Danio rerio: one gene and its partner. The protein of the gene in region 1 binds, or shares a complex with, the protein of each later gene. Links are inferred from orthologs where the notes say so. Each region holds a gene or a part of one and is shown on either strand. Other genes may lie near its edges.

Region 1 (3,832 bases):
ACCAAGTACACGTGGTCAGAACACAAACGAGTCGCAGGTAATTAAGTATTAAGCGTTTCTCCTAAAGTAGAACCTGTCTAAGCAAAATGCTAGCAGGCTTCTGGAGCTCCATTGATGCTCCGCCTCTTTGCCCTTTTTTGACAGTTGGCCACACCTACTTATAGCTTCATTTGCTCTTTTCAGAAACCTATGAGTGACGTCACGGATACAACATCATATCTTTTACAGTCTATGGTCAAAATTAGATTTTTCACCAAAAATCTTTCCATTTGCTAAAACAGAGAAAGTTGTGGCCAAACTAAGCCTTAAAATGACCCCAGAGTGGATGAAAACATCCTAACAGCACACAAGAGATAAGATGCGTTTTTGCCAATCCAATCACAAGTGAATTATGCTAAATATTAGTCCAAGAATGCATTTTAAATGGTAATGACCAGGAAAAAATAAGACTTGAGATAACCTGAAGGTGAGAAACTTTACGTGAAAGTACCTGTGCTGCCCCTGTGATCATGTTCGGGATGAAGTCTTTGTGTCCTGGTGCGTCCATCAGAGTAACAACCTTTGAGTCAGTCTCAAACTTAGTCATGCCCACATCCATGGTCACTCCTCTGTAAAAGATAACGATGATGTTCAGTAACGCATGCTATTATAGATTGCTTTTACACACATTGATTGGCATCTGAATGTGTTTGTAATCAACCAACCTGTCCCTTTCCTCTCCTGTCTCATCCAGTACCCATGCATAGGCGAATGAGGCTTTGCCAGCTTTTTTGGCCTCCTGTTCATACTTATGCATGGTTCTCTTGTTAACGTTCCCCAGCAGATATAACAGATGACCCATGAGAGTGCTCTTGCCAGCATCTACATGTCCTACAAACACACAAAGCCCACATTTTCATTCATTGTATATACAGTTTTGATAACCAATGAAGTGACATTCAAACATACTTCAAGGGTGCATTGAATCAAAATGTTAAACTGTTCTCTGAAATCTACATAGTAGGTATGTGGCTTGGGTAAATTAACTAAATTCTCCAGAAACAGTTGTATATAATCTTTTATAACCATAGGAATTACAACTAGAATGAAAAGCTCAGTTTTGACCATATTTGGAATGATCATTAATATTAATTAGCTCTGTTCTGATAGTGTTTATCTCCGTCTCTTGCTCAAACACACAAAAACACACAATGGGATGTACTCTGAAAAATAACATTTAAAATAATAATACTTGATTTGTTATCACATAATTTTAATTGCGTAGATGGCTTTTAAAATAGTTTAAATAGTAGTAGTAGATAGGTCACTCACTCCTTCTAGCTAAAATAAACCTATATATTTGCCACTAGAGAAACCTAATAGAGTTGTGTATGAAATATTGGCTAACTTACAATTATATCTGACTAAAAGGCCTGACAGAGATGTAATTGGTTACATTTTGAAGCCTTAATGTATATGAAAACACAGATAAGATTTATTATTAACCACTCCATAAACCAGGCATGTACAAACTCGGCCCTGGAGGGCCGGTGTCCTGCAGTTTAGTTCCAACCCCGATCAGACGCACCTGAGCTAGCTAATCAAGCACTTACTAGGCTTTTTAGAGACATCCTTGCAGGTGTGTTGAGGCAAGTTGGAGCTAAAATCTGCAGGATATCGGCCCTCCAGGACCGAGTTTGGACACCTCTGGCATAAACAGATGACGTTTAATAAAGTGTACTGATGTCCTTTCATTTAAGAAAACACACAGTAAGAACTGAGTGGCATAACACAATGCATAAGCATGCATTCAACACTAACATTTAGCAGTTTGCATGTGTTTGTCGCTTCATTACAAACATAAGCAGCAAATTTCACAACATACAGGTTAATCTGACAAATGCCATAGTTAAACAGACCTTTTGTCTCTTCGGGGTGGTACTGAATACGTTTACAATCTATATATCCCGCATTTTGCATTCTGACATGCTGTGAACAGACCCAATGCTCTATAGGTCAAGCTTGTCTGCTTGCTTCCAAGAATGGCTCCTTTACTGTCTTAATAAATGGCTTAACGACTGGTCCGTTTTTAAAATAAGAGTCATAAGATACATTGTCAGTAGCCAATCAAACACAGTATGAGGCGCACATTTTAATGATACTGTATTTTGTTTTGATAAGCCTGTTTTCAATGTATTTTTTCCCAAGATGTACATGAAACGAAAAATCAATGATGTTTGAGGTTGACAGAATGACATTTCCATGTACTGAACTCTTTCTATTCAGCTATGCCTATCCAGATTTTCATTATATGGCACCTTTAAGTATAGCTTAAGGCTAACAAAGCAGTAAAGAAACATCATTTGATTGCAGATATATAAATGTTTGCACAAGCTCTGCAACACTCCAGTCAGGTCAACTTTATTTAAATAGCACTTTTCAATAGACTGTGTAAAAGCAAACAGCTTTATGGTACTAGAAGTGTCACTGTCTCTAGAAATGTCAATGTGTTTAGCAATTACAAACATGCAAAATGAGTACACCAAATGAGTGAATAAAAAAAAATGCTGATATGATAGCATACCTATGACCACCAGGTTGAGTAATGGTTTTCCTCCTTGTCTCTTCTCCAGTTCAGCACGGATGTTGAGCTGCTGTTTGCTTTTTCCGGATGGTCGAGTTGGGGTCGGAGCAGCAGAATCTTCAGTCACAGTCGACTGTTTGGATGGGGTTTCTGTGGTTGGTACAGCAGTGGCCTCTGGACTCGGCCCTCTGCGAAGCGAAGGAGCCACTCCGCCATTTTCCTCTGCACTATAAAAACGGACAAAAGCATATTATAATTTCTAACACAGCCTTATTCTTTTTCTTAAAGCAAATTAAAAACATGCCACAGTAAATCCAAGAAGGCTATAATAGATCATTAATTTCATATATCATACCGTGTTATGGAAAAGGGTTAAACCTTCCCAATCTATGTTGTTGTAAATAGGTAACCTACAGTTCAAATGGGTTGATAAGATTAAACGCACAAATAAAATTAAACTATAGAAGTAATTTATGCTAACCAAAAGCATATAATATAAATATAAATTAATAAATAGATAAATAAATAATCCATGTGTGACAATATAAACATCTTCATTGCAGCTTTTGGTCAAATTAATGAATCACATATCAATATACGTACAAGCTTCTTCCAAACTACACAACAAAAATCTTCCTGACCTCAAATATAAGTCATTGTGCGATTTTGTAGATTGAACAATTTTTAGGGCATTAAAATTATTATTTTAAAACAAAAAATGCCACCTTTTACCTTCTAATTTCATTTGATTGTGTGTAAACTTATTGTTGTGAGTCCTCTGATAGTTTAACCTATTAAATGGAAGTACAGTGGCTGCTCCACCTGCAGAAGCCCCTACACCCTTCTTTCTGAGTTCATCGGGTGTGGTCTGTGTCTGGAGGAGTGGGAGTGATAGGCTGTGGCTTTGTGTTTGCGAGTTTGAGATTAATCTACATGCACCAGCCATCTCTGTGGTTTACTGCTGTCCCAGAATGCAATGCAGGTAGATAAGAGTTGGACTGGATTGAATTCAGCACCATTAATGATTGTAACTGAAAGAGCTATAAATTAAAGGAAGAGTTCACCCAAAATGAAAACAGCATCATCTTTTGCTCACCCTCCACTTTGTACATATATGAGTGGCAAGCAAGTAGTTGATGGTAACTATGGAAGCTGATGAATATAGAGAACTGTTTGATCACCAACATTTTACAAAGAAAAACAACCACACTGGTTTAGGTGAGTAAATAAAAATTGAGTCAATTTTTGAGTGAACGGTCACTTTAAACA
Region 2 (3,832 bases), on another chromosome or scaffold:
ATCACAATTTTCTCACGATTGTGTAGACATTAAAATAAAGGTTAATACGAATAGGCTATTATTTTTGTTATTTGTGAAACATATGGTAAAACAACAATATAAGGCCTATGTGTAGGTCTAATGTTGGTTAAAATGCTTAATTCGGTATAGACTTGGAATGGTGGACTTAAACAGACATAAATATGTCCTGGTCATTAATGCACAGTGTGATGACATCAGAATACAACCATTCATAATTCTAAAGTTGGATTATAATATTCAAAAAAAAAAAAAAACATACAATCTAATCATACCTTCTCCGCAGCTCCCAAATGACCACTCTGTGCAACAAACTGAACGCTGTTTACAACTTTATTACCTGTTATTCACACTCTATGCAGGTTTTGTTCACTAAAGTTAACATCATTGGCGGGCTAGTGTCCTATCAGTAGTAAACATCAGATTCGTCAGATTAGGGGTCATTTCTTAGCCGCAAATACGTCATTGCATTATGACAGTAACAACATTTTTGGGTGAATTATACCTTGTAGATGCAGTGTGTGACACATTTATGCCATTTGGAGGTGTCCATGTTGCTGAGTAAAGTATGTAAAACAATATGAAGATTTGTGCAACCGCCTTTAAGCTTCTCTCCTCACCATGAAAATATAACTGGTAGAAAAGCTGAATTGAGATTGTGTGTAGGATCGAGATCGCAACCTTTTTTTGATTAATTGTGCAGCCCTGCCTGTAAAAAAAATTATGGAATACATAAAAACTATTTATGACACAGAAAAAGAAGTTTGGTTCACCTTGTCATGTTGAGTGCAACTGCCTTTCCTCTTGCGAGGGATGGTGACCTCAACCTTCGCCCTTAGTAAGGTCATGGCTGGAGTCACAAGAACCAGATTGGCCAGACCTTCCTGCATCACGACAGCGGCCACATCTGCTTTCTGAGCAGGATCACATGCCTGCTCTGTTGATTTAATAAAGGCAAGTTTAGAAATTATTAAGGCATTGCGTCAATTTAATGTATTTCACGTAAAAAAAAAATTTAAGGCTTTGTTCACCCCCCAAAAAAACTCGAATGACTTTGTTCACCAATGTTTCCAAGGTGCGCGTATAATACAGGCAGTATGATGTTTTGGCATTAGAGTCAGCAGAGCAACACACAAGCATTTGGAACTACAGTAAATAATGAGTAAATCAAAAGTTTTTGGATGAACTTTGCCTTTAGGTCATAGGTCTCAATCTCAATTCCTGGAGGGCCGCAGCTCTGCACAGTTTTCTCCAACCCTAATCAAACACAGCTGATCTAGTAGTGTCTACTCTGCTAGTCTTGAACAGCTTGATTTGTTGGATCAGCTGTGTTTGATTAGGGTTGAAGCAAAACTGTGCAGAGCTGCGGCCCTTCAGGAATCGAGTTTGAGACCTATGCTTTAAGTAAATGTAAAGAGCGAGGACAAATTGTTTTTAAAGCTTGATAGATCTGATTGCTCTGCATTTTTATGTGCCCAAAAGAAAGCTGAACGACTTCACAAAACACTCTTTGTTTACCAGAAGTAAAATAAACTAATTATTTGAGCCACTAAATATTATATCATTATTTTTTTAAACAAAATAATTTTACTTTTTATTTATTGACATTTTCACAAAGTACGCAAAATTTGTACAAGCAAAACTAGTTTAATTCAGTCAGAAAATGCAGCAAAAACACACCAACACATTACCAATTCTGTCCAACACCACGCTGTCCCAGACTTTTTTGGCGAGGGTAAACTTCCTGTTGAGCTCCAGCTCTATGGTATGATAGGCACCCATCTACATATGACACAATAGAAGCAACATGTCTCATTTTAAAGCAACGTTCACATTTCTACTATGACAACATAAGATAAGTGAGGGTGAATATTAGCTATAAATATATTTTCTCAGTTATTTAAAACATTTTTTTTTTTGCCAAGTTCAACAAGTTTTTACTACCAGCCATGTCACTGACAATTAATTTGTGCAGTCCCATAGAAAAAAAATAATAAATAATTTCTGGAAAAATGACAATCATTTCAGACGAAATTAGACAAAAATGTCTGCAATATGCATATAAAACTTAATTTTAAATAATAATATTATTATTAAATCATATATTTAAGTTGTAAGTGTAATTTAAAACTTAAATGACTAAAAAAACGACATCCAAACTTAAATAAAACAAGGCATAAGTATGATTGAAGCCTACACTTGCATTTGGAGATAAGAACAAAAAGAACATAACCGAACGAACTGTCATTTTAGATCATATAAACACGAGCAAGACTGTATAAACATAATTCAAAACTGTAATCTTTTATTTGTGCTATACCTACAATTACAACAAAAGATTGCGGTATTGCTAAATATAGAAAGCAAATGGTGACATTTCGGTAATCCAAGTCCCCATGATCAATTTTGAAAACAATTTTTGGATAAGAATAGACTATACATTACCTAATTTGTTTGCAATTTTCAGGTTCATGTAAAAAAATGTATATTTATGTATGTATATGGTGTTTTTTTTTTAGGTAGGACAAAGAGTGGAGCACAATATTGACTGTATGATTGGTCAGGACTGCAATCAAATGCTGGGAGAGCTAAAGTTAATTACAAAGTCACGAAAACAAATCTAAATGCATACTGACCTTCACATATTGGTTCTCCTGGATGTTTGTTCCTTTGACTCTGAGCTGGCAGGCTTGGGAATCAAAGTCTATGGTTTCCACACAAAGAGTCAATGTGGTGCGCACACGTGAACTGCCCACACTGCCCGTGGAAGACTCTGTCTGCACTTTCCTGTTTGTGACATCGAAATATTTTTATTAAGTAAACAAGTGAAATCTCTGATACTAAATGTGCTAAACCAAACCAAAAAAATAAATAAAATACAGTGTGATACAATTAAGACCCACCTGATGGTTGAAGCTCTGAGGCTGTCGCCCACCTGCAGTAGGTTGTAGGTGTGCCACATATCCTCTGCTTCGTCAGGTATTAGTGTCACCTGACTAAAAAAAAAACATAAAAATAGAAGAAATTACAACTAGGAGCCTTGGACTGACTGAAAAGGGAAATACTGAAATCTTGAACACCGGTTTTGCAACTTAAACGAAAACTAATTAAGTCTAATCTGAATGGTATTATAAATGTATATTTGTGTATTATACTCTATATACATATATTAGTACTATAGATGCTTAAAGAATTGTATAATAACTATTTATTCTAATTTAACAGACTATTGTAGTTTAATAAAAGAAACAAACTCTGAAACAAACAGTTATCATTAGCCCATTTTCGCCAATATCGTTTAAAACAGGAGTCTCAAACTCGCGGCCCGCGGGCCATTTGCGGCCCTCAGTGCAATATTTTGTGTCCCGCGCCGACCGCTGTACTCTGACAGAATCAGCGGAGCGGGGAGAGAGAGCGCTCCCCGCTCCGCTGATTCTATCCGTACACAGCGCGCTTGTCACTCAATGCGCGTTGTCGCGCGCGTTCTGATCAGCTGTGTTGTCGCGCGCGTACTCAAGAGCGGTGTTATCGCGCCCCTACTGAAGGGCGGGACTATGTGTGTCGCGTCGCAGAGGCACTTTTGATCATTTTGGATGGGCACTTTCTATGCAAGACTAAAAAGGGCATGTGCTCTGCACAGGTTGAGCCCTATGTGTGCACGTGCCTGCCCTGCATCTTATATATATTGATATTATAGGTAGATACAGACTGGTACAGACTGATGTGACTGGAGTGGGGTGGGGGTGTTTTATTTATACATATATACGCCTTTTTTTTAGGTGAGGGAATGGAAGTTTTGAGTGAGTTCCCCCAC

The links.
Region 2: hbs1l (region 1) and pelo share a complex: the UniProt entries of both Homo sapiens proteins name them as parts of the pelota-HBS1L complex. The link is inferred for Danio rerio from reciprocal best matches to the Homo sapiens genes HBS1L and PELO.

The regions. Positions count from the first base shown.
Region 1 is NC_133198.1:34,725,071-34,728,902, forward strand, and holds part of hbs1l (HBS1-like protein), read right to left. Parts: intron 2,791-3,832; coding exon 2,564-2,790; intron 871-2,563; coding exon 705-870; intron 609-704; coding exon 491-608; intron 1-490. UniProt on the Homo sapiens protein: GTPase component of the Pelota-HBS1L complex, a complex that recognizes stalled ribosomes and triggers the No-Go Decay (NGD) pathway.
Region 2 is NC_133187.1:13,771,284-13,775,115, forward strand, and holds part of pelo (protein pelota homolog), read right to left. Parts: intron 3,015-3,832; coding exon 2,922-3,014; intron 2,806-2,921; coding exon 2,655-2,805; intron 1,801-2,654; coding exon 1,710-1,800; intron 956-1,709; coding exon 792-955; intron 1-791. UniProt on the Homo sapiens protein: Component of the Pelota-HBS1L complex, a complex that recognizes stalled ribosomes and triggers the No-Go Decay (NGD) pathway.